Caenorhabditis elegans: one gene and its partner. The protein of the gene in region 2 purifies or fractionates together with the protein of the main gene of each other region. This does not show direct contact. Each region holds a gene or a part of one and is shown on either strand. Other genes may lie near its edges.

The links. The genes of interacting proteins can lie anywhere in the genome.
Region 1: the proteins of F32B5.2 (region 2) and cisd-3.1 fractionate together in Caenorhabditis elegans (co-fractionation; one large-scale study listed by BioGRID). This does not show direct contact.

What each region holds. Positions count from the first base shown.
Region 1 is NC_003281.10:4,540,683-4,547,039, reverse strand, and holds cisd-3.1 (Iron-binding zinc finger CDGSH type domain-containing protein), read right to left. Parts: upstream 4,160-6,357; 5' UTR 4,159-4,159; coding exon 4,021-4,158; intron 3,976-4,020; coding exon 3,880-3,975; intron 3,829-3,879; coding exon 3,647-3,828; intron 3,473-3,646; exon of another isoform or gene 3,418-3,472; coding exon of another isoform or gene 3,345-3,417; intron 3,296-3,344; coding exon of another isoform or gene 3,092-3,295; intron 3,010-3,091; coding exon of another isoform or gene 2,520-3,009; intron 2,477-2,519; coding exon of another isoform or gene 2,355-2,476; intron 2,299-2,354; coding exon of another isoform or gene 2,195-2,298; intron 2,138-2,194; coding exon of another isoform or gene 2,066-2,137; exon of another isoform or gene 1,981-2,065; intron 1,325-1,980; coding exon 1,258-1,324; 3' UTR 1,015-1,257; downstream 1-1,014. Other genes in the region: M88.3 (RING-type domain-containing protein), read left to right, coding at 2,066-2,137, 2,195-2,298, 2,355-2,476, 2,520-3,009, 3,092-3,295, 3,345-3,417; mrps-34 (Mitochondrial Ribosomal Protein, Small), read left to right, coding at 4,594-4,683, 4,733-4,813, 4,860-4,990, 5,037-5,244, 5,325-5,501.
Region 2 is NC_003279.8:2,694,819-2,700,873, reverse strand, and holds F32B5.2 (Glycoprotein), read right to left. Parts: upstream 3,476-6,055; 5' UTR 3,435-3,475; coding exon 3,294-3,434; intron 3,250-3,293; coding exon 3,194-3,249; intron 2,834-3,193; coding exon 2,545-2,833; intron 2,311-2,544; exon of another isoform or gene 2,162-2,310; intron 2,041-2,161; coding exon 1,947-2,040; intron 1,899-1,946; coding exon 1,787-1,898; intron 1,324-1,786; coding exon 1,116-1,323; intron 1,063-1,115; coding exon 919-1,062; 3' UTR 875-918; downstream 1-874. Other genes in the region: F32B5.1 (arginine kinase), read right to left, coding at 272-454.

The DNA.
Region 1 (6,357 bases), on a different chromosome or scaffold from region 2:
TGACGAGAGGCGAAAAAGGTGAGCGAGCATTTTCGCACTTTTCAATGAGTGTTATATCATCATGTTGTTATACGTTTGACAGAATCTGGTTCAACGATGCATGCGCGCTCTGTTGAGAATGTATGTACGGGGTGGGATAACTCTGGGAGTTTTTGAATTGTTGATAAAAAAAAGGTGTCACTATTAAAAAATTGTGAGCTGGAAATTTTATAGACTAAAGTTTGTGCCATTCGGCACTGATTTTAGATATTTTCCAGGCCATTTTTCCAATTTCGATACATTTGTGTAATTCTCAAATTGAATCAAAGAAAACAAGAAAAAACGTTATTTTATAGGTGTTTATGCAAAACTACGGTATGCGGTCTCGCCGCGACCGGGTTATTTTCAAATAAGAGGCACTGAAAAGAGTGTGCGCCTTTAAGGAGTACTGTAGTTCAATTTTCTTTGATTTTTCATAATTTTGTTGCTTGTTTTCCCAATTGAAAAACATTTAAAACAAGTGGCACTACAGTACTATTTAAAGGCGCATAACCCTTCGCGTGTCCTTCATTTGAATAAGTTTTGGTCGTGTAGAGACCAAGTCCGTGTCTTGAGAAGTTTGGCAAGTGACCACCAATTTCAGCCGTTTCAGTAAAAATCAAATCAATAAAATTCTAATAAAATATGAACAGCTAGACTTGTTTCGTTGGTGAAATATCAATATCCAGAGAGAAAATCCTAAATTGTTAGGCATGATGAATAGAAGGATGAATGCTTATGTAAATTACAAGTGTCTCTATGTCTATGAGAAGATGTTTCAAGTATGGTTTTACGGCAAAAGAAAAGAAAGCGATATATTCGTTTTCCCAATTTTCTTTCCATAATTAGTGGGAAGATCGTTTGGTTTGTGAAAAGTGAATAGGCAGGCACCCCCGAAGAGAAATTGAGGGAATATAAGAGAGGAAACAAATCTGTTGTTTTTTGTGTTTTGGTTTTTTTTTGAGATTTGATGGATTAACTTCAGTGCGAATGAGAAGACGTTTTTGTAACTTTTAATTTTTTTTTTCTTCCTTCTCAAACCTGATGGGAATTTGAGATGGGATTAAAGACACAAAACCTGTAAGGAAACAAAGAAAAGTACAAAAGAATGATCGGTGTGGGGGATTAAACTAGATACGAAACCAAACAAAGCTATGAAAACAGGGGATATCTGAATAGCCTAATTCAACAAAAACACAATAATAGTAAAGACCTAAAACTATATGGAGTTGGTCATAATTAATCGAAAAGTCCAGCTTTCTTGTCCTCGTCCGTTACGGTTTTGTGTGATCCATCACAGAATGGTCTGAAATTTTAGTTTTTATATTTTGAATAGAAACTTAACGGTAAATTAATCAAAAACTGCAGGTGTGCATATATTTTCGAATTTTCGTAACTATTACGCCAAAAATACGGTACTTTTTTTAAATTTAAAAATGTGTGCGTCTTTAAAGAGTACTGTATTTCAAACTTTCTGTGGAATTTTTAATAGTTTTTCTCACGACTTGCTAAAATTTATGCAGCTTTTTATTTTTATATTTGAGTTTTTAAAAATCAATGAAAATTTCGCAGCAACGAAATATTAAATTTACAGTAATCTTTAAAGACGCACACATTTTTAGAATTAATAAAAAATTGTCGTGTCGAGACCGGGTACCGTATTTTTAGCGCACAATCCGCAAAATTTTGCGCCTGGAAACAATAATTTGTTTGAAATAATTTTTTATCCGAATTAAAAACGAGACGTATGAAATTTGAAAGATAATGTTTTAAAATAAATTTTGATCTGAAATATTTTCTGTTAATAAATAATAAAATTTTGAAAATTATTTACAAATATTAAACATTGTTTTTAGCGTGTAAAAGGTTATGAACTTTTCAAAAAAACTTTTGCACCGATTTTTTACGTTAATTTAAAAAAAAACACTCTTGCTAATCGGTATCAAATTTATTATTTATTATTCATATCATCAAATTTGGTGATCTTCTTCAGTCCGCCCGTCATTTGTGTGATTCCATTGAAACGAGGACGGAAAATCATAAAAAGATGACTGATTTCAATTCGAATGAAACAAACAATTCACTTCTCTCATCTGCAAGCTCATTTTCTTCTTTTTTGGTGAGTTTTACTATTTATAAAGTTAACATTTTCAATATAATATTAGAAAATTTTCAGCCAGTACCTGGAATTCTGGAGCTCATTCCTCCATTTGTTCGGGATATGTGCAAGTCGCCGAAAAACGTGGAAATGAGAGTTGCATTCGATGCTCCAACTCAACAGTAAGTATACTTATTATAATGAGAAACCTCCTAAAGATATTGACTTTTTATTTTAGATCGACTTATACATATTCTATCAATTGGGAAGACAATGAGAACTCGGACGACAAGTATCTCAAAATTCTCCAGAAATCGATCAGTAGATCCACGAGTATTGGCTCACTCAACACTATCAAATGTGAGTTTGACTTTGGAAAATAGCTTTACAAGAGATTTTTCAGCGACCACTGTCGTCCATGATGTCCCTCCGCCAGTGACTGCAATCTGTGATGGTCCATGCAAGAAAGCATTCCCATCCAATCTTCTGAATACAATCGGAAGATGTGGACACTATCTGTGCACTGCTTGCTATGGAATTCTCAAAAATTCGGATGGAACAACTGGATGTAGTTCGAGAATGTGTTATTGGAAGGGAAAAGATCGGAAAGAAGCGAAGAAAAACTTTGAGAAAGAAGTTTGCCGTAAGCAACGTCTCCGTGCCCGTGAAATGAAATCTCGTGGAATTGATGTCAAATCAGCTTCATCTGCATCGAGCCGTACGAGTCCTTCTCCACATGAAAGTTCTGAGGAGACGGATTGTGCTGTCGGGTCGGTGATGGACAACCTTTCCAATGCAAAGGGAGACTTCCGGCTGATTTATCCATTGCTTCAGGAAATGATTGGTGTAAAGCTGTATGTTTTGGAGCAGCTGGATATTCTCGGAGTTCAACAGTGAGTTATCATATTTTTAGGCAAGCCAGGCATGTAGGCAGGCACATGAGCAAACATACCGTGATTCTTTTTATTTTTCCAGCAACGTTGTCGAATTGGAAGTACAATCGACCACAAAAGTCAACAGAGTGATCACTTCGCTTCTTCGCGAATACTTCCAAACGTTGCCACCTGATCAATCGGGAGTACTGTACCACGTGGAATTGGAGCCTGGATGGTCACGTAGAGTTCGAAGAGTTAGGACTAAACAGTACAACTCTCTGGAATTGTACAACTTTTCCAAGGTGTAAGTGAAACTGAATTCGTTTAGTAGATCAAATTTAAATTAATTTCAGCGATGAGTACATTGTGTTTGTGATGGATTTCGGTGCATTTCTCAAAAACGGAGTGAAGATCAATTTTGTGTAGAAGACATGAGAGAATAATGCTTTTTATGAATTGAATAAAGGGTTTCCGTGGGATGGTTTTTTTGTATGAATTTTTTTGCAAGTCATTCAATATAAGGTAATCTGAACATAACCTTCCAAATTAAATACGTCTCATTTCAAAGTCCGAAACTAGTTTAACTTAATTTCCTTAAGCTCTAGGAACACGATTTTTCGCAACTTTTTAACTTTTACAAAAAAACAAATCTTACCGATTATTTGTTTGCTTGCAATTGCATAGCCACACCGTCATGTCCTTATCAGGAATAAATCGTACTGGTTTCAATTTAAGATCGGGAATTCGAATTGAATTGTGGGATCCATCGCAGAGTGGTTGCGATCCACTATATCCACAACTGCACCATGCGTAAACTTTATCCTTTTTCATGTGAACCTATAAAAAAATTAGCTCAGAAGGTAGCATACGAGTAATATATTTGAATACCTTAGTTGGTAGCTTACTATGCACTTTTCCAGTTCCGGGAAGCTCGTGGTTGGTTCCTTGCAGACCGTATTCCTCATTTGGTTTTTTGTCTTGAAGCTAAATATTAATCAATAAATATTTAAAACCTCCGAAATGACTCACAATATGATATTTCAGAACTGGTGGTTCGGTTCCTACAAAATGTGTTCCCTTTCTTTGAAGCCTGTTTGGACCAAATCCGGTTTTCTGACTCTTTTTGATGACTGACAAACAGATTTGAGCCGATTGAGTTATCCGCATTCTGTAAAACTGATAACATTCACACATAACTGAGTTAATGAGTACGAGTGATCATTATAGAAGTGAAATACAATTTAAAAGCAATGTTTGATGAATTTTTAAAAATAACATTTTCTTTAAAACTGTTTTGCACCGAAAATTGTGGCATTTTTGTCATTAATTACATGAAAAAACTGTCTAAAGTTTTATTTAGTTTGGGAAAATGAAATTAAAACATCTAAACACATGCTTAAAATAATTTTAAAGTTGAAAATCTGAATAAATAAAAGGAAGAATATTTCAAGGGGCGGGGCTAAAACGGCTGCACTGCGCCTCATTGCAAGCACGCCGCGCATTTTTTCTATTCTTTTTCTTCTCTTCGAGCATTTAATTTGTTTCTCTAATTTTTTCCTTTTCTTCAAGATTCACAGTCAATTTTAAAAGTTTCAGATAAAAATGTCTTCAAACTTAATCAGATTTGTTGGAAATCATGATATTGCATCGGAAGGAAAGTTTTTGTTCGAGATTCTCTCACAACTCCGCAACGTATGTTATTCTGCTGTTTTCCCCCTTGATTCAATTGTTTTTTTTTCAGTTTGGTGTCGGTCGTCTTGTTACAAAGAATGAATGGACACGGAAATGGCCGAATAATCCGTCATATATGAAGATTTTGAGGGCATTCTTGATTTTTAGCATGAACAAAGATCACTGAAACTTTTCAGGCAGAGCCAGGCATGGACCGATGGTTATTCGAAGGAAAAGTTTATGCTGAATGGGTCTTTCGTGGAAAAAATCTTGGCGTTTATGAGTTTTCAAAGGATTTGAACAGAAGTGACTGGCAGCTGGTACACAAGTAAGCAATTCTTAATTGAGGATTCGAAATTTTCGTTTATTTTCAGACATCAAGAAAAATCATATACATCGAGCACAACACCAATGCAAGATCTTGTTCTTCCCGATTCGTTTCCATTGCCACCACTTCAAGTTCATTTGTCACAGAAAAGTGCTCGCAAAAATGGTTTGGATGAGAAAACTGTGTCAAGACGGGCTCCGCTCACACTTAGTGTCGATCCAGAGTTCCAGCACTTGAAGCCGTTCATCAAACAGGTGGGATTAACTATGTATATGCTGAAATAAAAAACTCCGAAACTCACAAAATTTTATTTTTCAATTTTCAACCATTTCAGGAAGCTCCTTCAACAAAAAGCGTGTCGATCTACGAGGAAGTTGATAAGAATGCACTTTTGGATCTTTACGGAAACGAATTGCCAGTTAAAGTTGAAGCTTGGAATGCAGGACCAGCAATGTTCCAACCACGATTTAATGCCACAACGATGAGAGTTGAAGAGCAACCACCGAAATGATTCTCTTTCAATTTAATTTTTTTTAAATTTAAGTTTTCGATTGTAGCAGTTGTTTTTAGACTTTGTTTTCTTTTTGTTCTGTTTCGTTAGAGTTTTAAAATTAAACTATCATGAACCAAGTCACATTGTTCCAAGACTACAGTGAAGTGAAATTTGTGATAGTTAAAAAAAATGTTAATGATTAATTCAAAAATACAAAAATGTATAAAATATAGATCACAACTTAAAGAGAACGCATTCGTTATAACAGTATGAGTTGAACAAGTTGAATCATTAACAGAAACGAACCAAACATCAGTGGCGAATTTGCGTAAATAAACTCAGGTTTGAATACAGTACTTACTGTGACTAAATAAGTTGCAACAGCGGAGGGAAAATATTACTGACGTTGTGAAAAAGAGAGTTGTGAAAAATGAATACTCATAGTCAGTCCAGAAATCTAATGGTACAACTATGTTTTTTGGTGGCTTTAACTTTAAAAATTGAAATTGCGCGTGGAATTCGGTGCATTTGGAAAATTTGTGCACCCACCGTAACACAATGCATCAGATTTCCTGCGCAACTTTATTCAAGATTATTTGATTATTACACTCCACTAAATATTTAAGATGATATTTCACAATAATTTTTACGTTTTGGATGCACAAACAACACAATGATGTAAAACAGATTGTGATAAGATAAGAGCCTATTTAGAATCAGTACTTTTTTTTCAGAAAAGCACCAAACCATAACTTCCTACAAACCACATTTCTGATTTATAAATTAGCATTGTCTATAATTCTCTACGGCTCTCTTTTTTAGTCTAGTTGTCTCTAGGAAACTTGGGTTTGTGATTGACTATCAGAAATGATGC
Region 2 (6,055 bases):
ATAATTAGAGATTTGTAAAGCTTTTTCTGAAAAATCGACTCCCAGAATATATATTCTCATGTCAGAGTTTCAGCTCGCGCGTGGAACGGCTCAAACAGAAAAGTTGATTTACAAACTTCAAAATGATGACAAATCACGTGTTCTGGGCATACCGCTCCGGACGCAGCTGCGCTGGGAGCCCCCTCAAATTGGCTTCAGAGTTGCGCGGTCCCTGATTAAAGGGAGCAAGGAAATATTTCTGAAAATTGCCCTTTTTTGGCTTTAGAATTACCTGTGGAGTGAGTGTGTAGACTGCGGATCCGGCTCCAAGAGCAGCGAGCACTCCAGCGACATACCGCGAGTTTGTTGAACGGAGAAATTGCGATGCCATTTCGACGAGACGAAGAGTTGAGTGAGAAGAATCGAATTTCAAACGAGAACTTCTTCGGTAATAACCAATCTGAGCTTTTTTCATGACACGTTGACATTTGGAAAACACGTGGAAAGATTTAGAAATTAGATAAGAAAATTGTCACGTTTTTAAAAAAATGTTTTGGAAAGTTTTGTTCAAAATTTTTTTCTCAAGCTTTTGAATTTAAATACGTGAGAAGCTTGTTTTTATTTTTGCGCTGGATCGATGCACCCTATTTTGTGCGCAAAGATCAAAAGTTATTCTGGTGGGTCTCGCCACGATCTTTGGAGAATTGGTGGTAAACTTTCAGACTGTTCAGTGGCTTAGGCTTCGGCTTCGGCTAGGCCTAGACTATACTATTACCTACCTTACCTATCCTTAAACTTGCCTTTTTGGATAATTTCAAGGTCAGCACAATGATAACGACGTGTCTAGACACTTGTTTCCTCAAAACCTTCCAAATCCCCAGGACAAAAGAAATGGTTAAACTTTCGATTTTTTATTGCATTTCAAAAACTAGAACCTATTCAAAAACAGACAAAAAGTAAAAGAACAAAAAGACAAAGAAAAGATGATTTATCGGAGGAGACGGAAACCAGAACAAATGGACAATCGAGAGCATCGACTACTTTGGAGCACACGTAGTGACGGGATACAGCTGGGTTCAGGAGCTGGAAATTAATTTTTTTGTATAGAAAAATGATTTTTTTACAAAACCCTTTACCTGTGCACAAATCTCATGATCCCCTGGTATTCTTTTCAACGGAACATTCATCTCCTTCCACCCTTCAACTCCGAATGTTCCAATATGATCGGAATGGATTTTTGTGGATCCTTCGAAGATTCTATAACTTAAGCTGACACTATTCGATGAATATGTCCAATCATCTGCAAATCGGATCAGAAGCTCGGTGGAGTCACATCCATTCAGTCTGGAAATAAAGAATTATCTCTTTTTGAACTGTAGGCCATGTCAAAATTTTTGTTTTTCTATAGAAGGCTTATAGGCTTAGGCTTGAGCTTAGACTTAGGCTTAGGTTTAGGCTTAGGCTTAGTCTTAAGCTTTGGCTTAGGCTCAGGCTCAGGATCAGGCTTAGGCTTAGAAGGTAAATATATTAAAACCACAAGGTCTGGGTATGCTTTGAGTAGGCTTCGATGCACTTAGAAATTCTTATTTATGTGCCTACAAGGCAGGCGAAAAAGAAAAAGAAACCTAGGTTGCCTTCAAAGTAAGATGACATTCTTAAAGGCAGGCGGGTAGAAATTTGTTGCCTGCTTGGAAGCTTGTGTTCAGAGCAAGAGCTACAAATTTTACTGCTTTTTATAAAGCCTTTAATACGATTTATGTGAATATCCAAATTTCGTATTCCCATTTTTTTTTCTAAATTCACCCACCTCGATTCAATTTTCAGTAATCGTTTCAGCCAAACATGTTCTGATCCATTTCTCCTCATTTCTTCGCTCATCTTGACTATAAAGTTCTGAGTATCATTTGCCCAATACGTGCCTGAAAATTGGAGCTGCTGATTTTTCACAAAAATATGAAACAACTGACCATACTCTCCATTTCTGAACGTCTCGTATCGAATTGTGGATTTCCATTCAATTTGGTACCATTCATTTGATGTAAATTTGCATGCCACGTATTCCTGCAAAAAAGTTTAGATTGGGTTGAAGAAATTTTGAAACTTTTTGAAAAATAATTTATTTTTTTACCATTTCGACCAAAAAAAATTCCAAAATGTTTTATCACCTCAAAAACTCAATAAAGTTAAATCGGAAAAGCGGCAGATTTGCAACTTGCCGGATTTAAACATTTTCGGCAAATCGGGAAACCGGCAACTTGGCGGAATTAAAAATTTCCGGCAAATCGGCGAATCGGCAAAATTGCCGGAAATGAAAGTTTCCTGCAAAACGGCAAATCGGCTAATTGGCAATTTGCCGAAAATTAAAATTTCCGGTAAATCGCCATATTGCCGGAATTGAAATTTTCCGCTAAATCGGCAAACCGGCAGATTACCGGAAAAAAAATTTCCGGCAAATTAGCAATTTGCGGAAAATTAAATTTTCCGCCAAATCAGCAAACCGGCAATTTTGCCGATTTCATATGGGAAAAGACTTTAGATGACTTCTAAAAAAAAACCCAAGCCTACCGGATACACCGTTGGCACATTAACAATCGGACATTCTTGATTTGTCGAGTTGAACTCAATCCTCTTCTGATGCTCGATTCCCATATTCATTCCCTGTGACAATTTAAATAAATGCCTTGAGATCGATGATTGGCAAGTCTCGTAACCTCCAAGATCTGGAGATATTCGATATTCAGTTTGGTATCCTTTAAAAGTTAGTCTGCAAGAGTTCGCCGTGGCCAACTGCCTCCAGGATATTGAAACGCGACTTTGAAGAGAGGTGGTTGATTGGAGATCCCGGATTTCTTCACTGAAAATATGGTGTGAATTAGTAAGAAGAAGTTTTAGGATGCAAAACTAAGCGTACCTGCCTCACGCCTACACACGTACCTATTGCAAACCTGGCTGTGAACGAATAAAAAACTTTTGATTGGAATAAATTGTGACCGAAACATTTTTTTTTCAAAAAATGCCAGATTTTCCTCCAAAAAAGTAAAAATCAAAAAAGTTTTATACGAGTTTTGAATTTGAATATTAAGTTGAACCTACAAAAATTATAAAAAAATTAAAATTTTTCCAAAACTTTAACTGAAAATTTAGCAAAATCTAAAAATTTCTGGAATGTTTAATTATGGTATTTTGACATGTATAAAGGTATAAAACCGCTCACCGTATTCCCTTATCCGACCTCAGAGTGACACAAAATTGTACCGGGTAGGAGAAGAACTGAAATTTCGAATTTTTATCAAGTTTTTCAAAAAAAATCTCACATTCATATTGGCATGTGAATAGGTAGGAATATGGGAGCACAGGTAGACAGATACATCCTTCACAACTTCAGAATTGATGAGTCTCGCCGAGCTCAAGTAGGCCAGGGAGCCGGTAAAGATCAGGAATCGGATGGGAATCATGTTTTTTTAGCTAGACGGCTTCATAGTTAGGAGGGGTGTCTGGAAAAATTCAACGATCAATGCAAATCAAAAACTCCGCTTCAAAGGGTGTGAGAAAAATGGTGCAGCTTCTGCTGACAGCCGGAGCCGTCGAGCAGCAGCAGCAGCAACAACGAACAAATGAATAAATGCAATTAAGAAGTGGACGTAGTGTATATATACACACAAATAGGGAGGGGGATATATGTCTTAGAAGAAGACAATGTGCTTCCATCAGTGAGAAGATACGCGGGGGCCATGTTTGGTGTAATTCGGTTATTGGGTGAAATGTTGCGGCGGCGTGGCGAAAAAGTTGCGCAACGAGGTCTTGTATACGTTTTTGAGCTGACCGCAACGTCAATTAGGAGTCGAAACAGGGGAGATGGTATGGGGGAGGGGAAGGGGACTAGGAGGGAAGATTCCTAGGCCACTTGTGACGTCAAACCTCTTCCATTTGTAGGTTTGGATTTAAAGAGCACTTGTATTTAACGGCCATATCTTTGCGGCTATGTTTTTTGTCGCAGCTTCTCCTGGCCGAAGGAATCCTGATGTGGCCGTGCAAGACTGTCGGTTACTTGTGACGTCCATTAGTAGGTTCGGATTTAAAGAGCACTTGCGACGTGGAACCTTCCAGGAATCACGGCCTGATATGGCCGTGCAGACTTGACAGTCCCTTGTGACGTCACGCCTTGTCACCAGGCGAAGGTGTATGTCAGTGTGAGAGTTCTAGGCCACAGTTTCGAAAGTTATGATTATTTTGATCGAGGCGGATGGAGGCTACTTTCCACAGAACCGTACCCTTGCGAAGTCAAATATAGTCCACACATCCCATCAGTTTTATACTTTGAGTGGGTGTGTGAGATTTCTAGGCCACCAATGACGTCACTTCTTCGCCACATGCAAGGATGCCCTCCATTCTGGAATTCTGGAAAAATGAAGTTTTCTAGGCCACAGGTGACGCCAAATCTTGTCCACAATGCGAGGAAATACACCACATATGTTTTCACATTCAGAGTGGCCGAGTTGGATTTTTAGGCCACTGATGACGTCACATCTAGTCCATAAAAAGCGAGGTTATAGCCTATAAGGTTTTAAAGTTCAGTGGCCGAGTGAGATTTCTAGGCCTCAAATGACTTCCGCACCCCATGTGTTTTTCCATTTTGAGTGGCCGAGTTGGATTTTTTTAATCCACTGATGACGTGATACCTAGTCCACCAGCCAATGAATCACATCTTAGTTTTTTGAGTAACCGTGTGAGATTTCTAGGCCAATAGCTTCCCAATAGTGGCCGCAGGGATTTTTAGGCCAGCAGTGAGGCCACTCTTCTGCGAGCTTAATGTCGGCTAGCCGCCAAAGGAAAAACTCGTCCACTTAGCAGATCTATCGCGGGAAGCTCGTAGACAAGGGGTGTGACAAAACTGAACGACTGAAGACGGAACACGTTAATCGAATTTCTAGACTCCCCGGGGGATTTCGAAAAACAAAAAAAAACGATTCTGAGGTGCGAGAAAAAGCTTGGGAAAAATTGAATTAAACGGAATTTGTACTTTTCTAGCAAAATTGACCAAAAAGTAGGGAAAGTAGAGGGAAAGAAGCTGACCTCCTTCCCCATCTGCCAGGGCATTCGTCGCTATCATAGAAAGCGATCAGTATGGGGAGTGGAAGGAGAGTCACCGGAAGCGAAAGAGCAACGAGACGATTCTCTGACACAACTTCTTTTGATTGACCCCAAGGATGGGTGGCAGAGGATGTATAAACGCATTCCAATGTTCAACAAAAGCTTCTGGGGGGGGGGGGGGGCATTGGAATTGCGCTTGCAGCAACCGACACCTCCCAGGCCGCCCACAAGGTGTCGGCCGCTATAGCTATTCAACATTTGAGCAGCAGACACCTTACTGGCCAGGTGCTAAAAGTTCAAGACGGGAGGTGTCGGTCGCTTAAGTTGTTAAGTAGGAGTTAAAAAGAACGCACAACCGACACCTTGCTGGATTTTTTGAGACGTGACCCGGGAGGTGTTTGCCGCTTTTTTCAGATATTCCGATTTGGCAATCATGAGATATAATTTTTTGACAAAGCCCTGCTGTACATCATCTTTTTTAAAATTATATTTATATTTAAATTGAACAATTTACGAGCCAATGACGTCACTAGTGGTTTAGAAATTTAAGCTTTGAAATAATAAAATCCAAATTAAAGCAGATATACTGAACATAGTCTCAAAAGTCAAATAAGAAAACGGGACAAATTGTTCTCATCAACAAGTGCACTGACCCTTTCAACTCATTAACATGCTTGTTAATCCCCTCCCCTCAATCGAATTTGTGACATATTGTCAAGAAGCAGGGTGGCCTCTGCCGCAACACATAGAAAAAAAGAAGAAAAAAACGATTGTATAAAATGAGTAGTAATTAGTAAAGAAGAAGGGTGTGAAAACTGGTATACTAGTGAACTGGGAAAAGTATGCATTCTTGATGAACTTGTCATACTTCTGGATGTGGGAAAACCCAAGCCGTCGGCCGTGGACAAAAAGAAAAGGGAATGGGACACACACACACTACAATTTGTTATCTTTCTTTTAAAAAACGAATTTGGAATCCCTTGAG